Linked DNA regions of Bombyx mori. The protein of the gene in region 2 purifies or fractionates together with the protein of the main gene of each other region. This does not show direct contact. Links are inferred from orthologs where the notes say so. Each region holds a gene or a part of one and is shown on either strand. Other genes may lie near its edges. The genes, in order: endophilin-A and synaptojanin-1.

The links.
Region 1: the proteins of synaptojanin-1 (region 2) and endophilin-A purify together in Drosophila melanogaster (affinity purification with western blotting; 3 studies listed by BioGRID). This does not show direct contact. The link is inferred for Bombyx mori from reciprocal best matches to the Drosophila melanogaster genes Synj and EndoA.

The regions. Positions count from the first base shown.
Region 1 is NC_085127.1:9,706,314-9,710,253, reverse strand, and holds the end of endophilin-A, read right to left. Parts: intron 3,662-3,940; coding exon 3,536-3,661; 3' UTR 40-3,535; downstream 1-39. UniProt on the Drosophila melanogaster protein: Required presynaptically at the neuromuscular junction. Implicated in synaptic vesicle endocytosis.
Region 2 is NC_085118.1:11,391,520-11,395,459, forward strand, and holds the start of synaptojanin-1, read right to left. Parts: upstream 2,629-3,940; 5' UTR 2,058-2,628; coding exon 1-2,057.

The DNA.
Region 1 (3,940 bases), on a different chromosome or scaffold from region 2:
CTACTTAGGGGATTATAATAAGAAATGAAAACGCTTAACTTAATTTTAATTGTTAACATTTTATTAATAGGCGAAAACGAGCGTTTTGGATATTTTCAAATACAAACCAATTTTATTGCTTTACAATTGGCAATTTGTCAAGATACACCTATTAAAATTACACAATATTCAAGATTACAGTAACATGAACAAGCACATAGTAACAAGACAACTCGTGTGGCCGCACCGTTAGCGAATATTAGAATCTACTGATAGAAGATCCCAAAAACTATACAAATTTGTTTTATGTGATAAATAATGCAGACTAATTTTATTTGCAAATTTTAGTATTTTAGTGTTATTACTTGCGCATCACAGATTTTGATTACTAAATAAGTGGTTGTATTTTCAAGAATATAATTTTTATATGTTGTTTTTATTTGTCTACTACACGGGCGACTCTGTCCCGAGTATTTTGGAAACAAATTGATTCCTTTGCATAATACAACGTACACGGTGCGAAGCGACAACATACCTAATGAACTTTACGTTCCCAACAATTTTTGCAAGCCATTAGAAATTTTAATAAACAATAACAGTCATATTCAAAATGAATATATGTGAATAGTATTAATTTTAAGACGAAGGACACATGCAATAATTATATCCGCATCGCGGTATTTTTGAACATTAAAATATCGATTCTTGTAACATTGAAGATAATTATTATAATATACTCGATATACTTATATTAAGAGACACTTGAAGAACATTTCATTTATGAACTTACGTACGACTAACATTAGATCTAGGTATTGTCTTTTGTATGCCAGAAACATGATCGAATGAGTTCCGATTACTACACAAATGATGCGATGAAATTTAATTAACTTTTGCAACATCCACATTGACAACATTTATATTTATTATGATTACTGTTATTTATTTAAATACTAGCATATGTGATTTTAGGGATGATGAAAAATGTACTCCACTCGGATATTTTAATCGATTTTTAAATATGTATTTATAAGTGAATTAAATCGAAATGAGTGTGCGAGTTCAAAAAATATTTTTTACTATAATTGTTCTATATTCGTATATGATAATATTGATTTTTTTTAATATTTATTTTTGGGAGTAAATTACGTTAAACATATTAAATTTGATATCCAAGAAGGTGACAATATAACATTTGAAAATACACCTAATATGAAAACTCCTTAAAACATAAATGAAATTATTTATATTAATTCACGTAAAAATTTAAACTCAATGTTGGTGGCAAGACCGTCATCTTAACATACACAATCATGCAGCAATATGAGCATACAGTAATTTCTATGTAGACAAACTAATTAACCACAAAATCTCTAATCTCAAACATTTAACTAGTTTTACATCAATCATTCTAGTCAATTAAGTAGTGCCGTGTATTTAACAAAATAAATGATGAAACAATTCATCACACAAATAAGTAGATAGTAGTAGAAGGTATTCTAAATAAAACATTACACAAGAAAATTATTTTATAAACTACATGTAAAATATGTTTATTATAGAGTAAATACACATAATATCACTGTTCGGAATCAATGCTGCCCTACGCATCGCAATAGCTGTAAATCACATACCTACATCAAAACTTCGAGCTATGGAGAGGAAAAAATCAACAATGAATTAAGGAAAATGTAAGCATAACGCCAAAAAGTCGTTTTAATTTTTACCGCATTCTCATTACGATAACAGTGTTTTTCTTATGGAAACATGAATAATTGGTGTTTTAATTTCTTTGACTATCATAACTATGTTTATCTGAGATTCATTATACCTTTTAATTTTATGATAGTATTTTGACAAGCTCAAAGTTTTAACCAACGTTTTTCGATTCTACAATCATATTAAACAATAGTCTTAATGTAACTAAATAATATAACTGGTATATTTTAATATCTACATACGGAAACAAATTAATTTGTTCCAAACTTACAACTAATTTACTAAAATAAAATAGACCTACCGCTCTACCGAGGGCGGCTTCTGGAGTAATAGATCAACAATATCGCTTAATCTTTTCTAGCAAATATTACGTACTTTATAATATATGAGGGTCTAAGTGAGACATCTGGGTGAAACGCGAGTAGCGAAGTGAATTGTGAATTGTTTTATTTTGTTAATTTAGTGATCCTTGAGACTTAAATGTGTTATAACGGTGGTTTTTCACACCAATTGATTAAAGTCTCAAGTTAATCAACTTCATCTCATTTCGCTTCATATCATTTATCATATTATAACAGAATATACGAAGAAAATAAATTGACTCAGCTTAAAAGTCTCATTACCAGGTCCCATTACATTCCATTCCATAAAAAATATATTTAAAATGTGAAAGAACGTGTTATATGATTAGTAGCCAAAAAAATTAAGGAGTCACCTGATTTATTCGGTATCTCATACTTTGATTTTAATAACTGCCCTTATTAATGGTTTATCATACTTCACTTGAATGGTCGCATGAAAAGAATGACGAAATCATATCAATTTAAATTGTTTCGAGTTTTCTTAATCAGGGAAATGCCTTGTATTCCCAATGGTATGGGCGATTGTCTTTTACATAAACGTGACATCACCACACTAGCTCGCCCCTGCCCCGCACCAGTATCGATTAAGCGGTAGGCCTACAATAGCAGTCACGAATAAAATGGCAACATGAAAAATGTATAAATTATAATAGCGTACGTCTTTGTTAAACTAATAAGATTTATTACAAAATACGACCTCAATTCATTTGGAAAATAATGTGTATAAAAAAAAGGAAATAAAATAATACATATACACGTATATTGAATTTAATAATATTATCATTAAGGTATTCTTTGGCGTATTATACGGGTTTTTATTTATTATTAATTATATAACACAATAGATCTGTTTGAATTTTCTTTTTAAAAACAATTCTAAAATGGAGTGTAATATCGGGAAGACTTCTTCTAAACAAAAAAGTCTGTATTCACACAATGTATATAAAATACACTTGATTGGATAATTTCATTGAGCTTTTGACACGATTGAAGTTACGAACAATTCATATTAATCCTTTATGTAGTAGCTGCGTTTAGTATATGAAGATTATTTCAATGGTGTAACACAAGTTACGTCAGAAAAACGATCAGTTAATCATATTTCATAGTTAAGGGTAAGGGTATTCCGTATGATCTAATGTAAAATTAAACACACATTTTTAAAATGCCTTAAATGAATTAAATATGTAATTTCGAAAAGGGCACATCTCTTATAATGTAAAATGTTCAGGAAATGAAAAAAACTGATCATTTTCTAAAGCAGTGTAAAATTTAAAATATTTACTTTTGAGATATATTTTAGTGTTTATTAGCAATTGAAAATTAGTGGAATTATTATAAAATGGGTGTAGGTAAGCCTCAAAACTACATGTATATGAAAAAACATATTTGACAGAATATGCGACATGTGCCCTTTTTGAAATTGCATATTCAATTAAAAGTGAATGTTTGTGTTACACCTACATGTTCCAAGTTTACATATTGGGCAGTGGAACGTTGACCTGAACGTAGCTGATGGGGAAGTAGCCCGTCTTGCCGTTCAGGCTGCCCTCGAACCAGTTGTCGTCCACCTTGTTGATCAGCGTGATCACGTCGTTCTCCTGGAATCATAATCATTATAAAAATACACGGATATGCTTATCAGCAAAATCTGTTAATTATCATATACGTATATGATACTACCATATGATTTGATAATTATCAAAATATTTTTGTGAGCCGGTACAGGCAGGTTATATCTACGTGAACCAGTACATAATGTGTTTCGGTTTGAAGGGTAGGGCAGCCGTTGTAACTATACTGAGACCTTAAAAAACTCATATCTCAAGGTGGGTGGCGGCATTTACGTTGTAGATGTCTATGGGCTCCGATAAGCACTT
Region 2 (3,940 bases):
ACAAAACATAGTGAGGTTCCATAAATTACCATTCTTATTCCCACAGCACCTTTATTCCCAGTAGCCCCTCCAAGTCCAGTCTTAACTGAATCAAGTGCTACATCTCTGATATGCGGTATTAAATCTTTTCTAACAAATATGAATAAACATACTCCAACAAGTTGATGACTAGACAGAAGTGTATAAGATGCATCTCTGCCTAACACTTTTTCCAGTTCCTCACTCCATGCTTTTGCATTATCAGTACTAGCTGCCATAATATTACTAGCATTTAAATCAACTATTTCTTCAAAGCCTATTGCAAATATGTCAGAAGGATGATCCTTCAGATTGACTGTATTTACCAAAGATGAATTTGGACAATCTAATAACCAGTCAGATAATGAAACATCCTTATAAGCAAGACTTCTGAAATGTTTACCACCATTCACATTGTATGTGCCAATAGTTATTCTAAGAGTTGAAGGTTGAGTGAATTCATTCGTTCTACGACACATTTCCCTCAAGATAGCTGTAGAAGTGTGTAGTATGTTAGATGGCAACAGTATTCTTGTGCGGTCTGCCAGTTCAGAGTTTAATGTTGAACCAAGTAATAAAATATCAATTGCTTCTTGCTTTGAGTTGTCTAATAAATTGTTCTGGATAGTCCTGGCAGCAGATCGAGCTCCATCAATTAGTTTGGAGCCTCCTTGAATTGCACCAGTTCCAGCATAAATTTTAGATATTTCATTTCCATTATTCACCCACATCTGTTTGTAAACTTCTTCAAATCTATTAACATTTTGTTTTTTATCAAGACATTGTAGTAGCATTAATTGAACAGCAAGCATTTCTAAACCAATAAATGTCTGAATAGAATTTGTTCTATCTAAGCAATCCAAGCAATTGGTCCTTATAACTCCCTTTTGAATATTATAAATGTCTGACCCTTTTGCACTAAAAATCCCAATCTCATCATAATATTTCTCAATATTCTGTTTAAATTTTGATAGAGCTATCTCTTGGGATGTTGCTCTTACTTCCTGATGATAGTCAAAAACAATTTGTAGGACATCAGAATGTGGAGATTCATTAATGTGTTTCTGGAAAGCATTACTTAATGTTGCCTCACCTTCACTACCCCCAATCATGTTAGATCCAAGCAGATTTACAACTATTACAGATCCATAATTACGCTTTAACTGGGCAAAATGTCTCTCACAAGCACTTGTTGATGCATCATAGCCTCTTGACATTTTTACTTTGTGTGAGCCAACTTGTATTCCAGGTTGTTCCCAAAACAATGGCACAGACCCTCTTGTTTGTATATAAGATGCTACAGAATCATCAATGTAAACAGCTTGTTCAGTTTCTACAAAGTTTGCCACATTTCCATCATCATTACAACCTCGCACATTAAATCTAGTTCCAGCCCTTTCACAACTAAGTCTTGAGACAAGTACAGCCCTAGCTTGACGATGCCCAACATAAATAGTGCGTATTTCTACAGATCCACACATTGCTCGAGTTAGCCACTCATCACAATCTATGCCATATCTGATTAGATGTATGTACAGTGTTCTATTCCAAAAGAACCTATTATCAGGGTTGGCTCCTTTACTTTTTCTTTGGGCACACAGAGTCAAATCAAAAAGATTATCATTGTTTTTGCCAGAATACCAAGAGAAATAAAATGTACCTGAATTAATTAATTTTCGGACTTCCGAAACCTTATCATCACCTTGCGATTGGTAGAACAGTGGCAGAAATTGAGTTTGCGTTATCTTAAATACTTCTAAATCCCCCACTTTACCAACAGAAGAGCATCCGGTGATTAACACAAGATACAGAAGACAGCTTTCACCAGAATTTAGCTGAAGTACTCCAAGACATCCATAAGCGTCTGCAACTTTATGGTATTGTTTCCTTAAAGTTTCTGTTTCTTGCGATGATAAGGAAACAACGGCTTGAGATTCGAAAAGAAGTGCAGTGTCTTTGTTTCTGTGTTGTAATATTATGCTATACGGACTGGGGGGCGATGATTTCTCCAGAACTTTAAAGCCTTTGGACATAGCCATGTTTAGTTTCTATTTGGCGATTATCACGCCATTAGCTTTTAAGATAAGTCAAATAACAATTATAAATTTATATGAGAATAACCGAGACCAATCTTCGACTTGGTGGACAGAATGAATTCAATCAAATCAATCCACCCATAGAATAGTGAATAGTGCTTATCCAATTTAATCTATGCTACTAGTGGTGTGACAAACGGCTTAAAATTGACAAGCGCTTAACACTTTTCAAGTTTTACGTATGCTTTTTGGAATAGCTTTTTAAATCAGGAAATCAGGAAGCTTTCTTATTGTAAACGTACATAGCTTTAAAACAATGGTAAGACGCTTTATTTGTATCGAGTGCTGCGACTAAGCAGGAGTTCAAAACACGCCTGAGTCTTGCGGGTTAGTTAGTTATTTATCAGTTATTAGAAAATATCTAAGTCGAGTTCCATAACGATTTCAACGAGAAAAGAATTGCATTGGAAAATAAAAATCAAATCCGTTAAACTTGTGAATTGCGTAATTACCTACTGGTGTTGGGACATTTTTGAGCTTGCTGAGTTAAAACCCATCGACCTTTATCTATTACTCTATTACTATGGCAGCACACCAGCAATCCGTTCTATATTGATTTACGGTACAATTGAGTCTTGGACCACATGTTACAAGAAAATAAGATTAAAAATGGATGTCATTTTATAATTGAAAAAATATCATTGAAAATACACAACTGTTACAAAAATGAATTTCTAGCATGGTATATTTAAAAATTTATATAATATTCTTATTCCCATACCCATTGTTTTCTGGAATATTAAGCTTCATATATATGAAATGTTTACATCTATCTATGCATTATTACCATCCTCTTAGCACGACTTATAATAACGAACATTAATTTCATGACAACACTGTTTTGATTTGCATTTTCGCCGTTAACGTTGCGGTTAGTACGTTAACGAGACCTACCCAACAATAAAAGTATTACACTAACGATTGGTACACTCACTTTATTTAAAGACAAGTGTTATGTAACAGGCGGAAATCAACTTAACGTTTACTCTATCTAAATTAAATTTGAAACTCTTTTTGGTATGAGGTTACTTTTCAATAGATACTATTAGTACGGTACCTACTTTCATTCAAAGACTACCCAGGTATAATACATTACTTGTCTGCTTTTCGATGATCGACTTCTTCATCTTCTTCTTTATTTTTTGGCTCTGGTACAGTTTGTGCGTTAGCCAGCGTCAAGTAATAAGATTTTTATAATTCGCCCGTTTTAATTAAAACCTTTAAGCTGTAAAGTTTATGAATAATAAAAAACGAAGGAAAAGCAAATTCAGCACAAAAACAGCGTCCGCCAAATTCCAATGTTTCCCGCGTTTTTTTTCTTCTAATAATTTAATGTTGATTTATGTAACGATTGGAACACAACACCACATCGTCGAAGCAATGAGACGATACGGCATTAGGAAGTGAAATGAAATTTATTAAAATGAAACATGGCATGAAATGAGATGAGATATGGGATGAAATATAATCTCAATAAAATGGTGGTAATTTACTGAGACTTTTTGGAGAATCCCGAGAAGCTACGTCCAACTGCTTTGTTTAATTTTACCACATTTTTGCACTTTCACAGATACTAAACAGTAAATAAACCACCGTAATTACTCATTTAAATCTAAAGAAACACTAAATAGATAAAATAAATTAATTCAACAACTTCGCTCCTCGCGTTCCCGCCAAAAAGTCGATGATCGAATTTTTTAAGTACCTACCTATATCGCTTAAAACCACGCTCTGATTACTACGTATCTACTATTCAGTGACACCCACCATCTGGTACCTACCTAATTAAAGATTTTAAACACAATTTAACAAAATGGATTATAGAT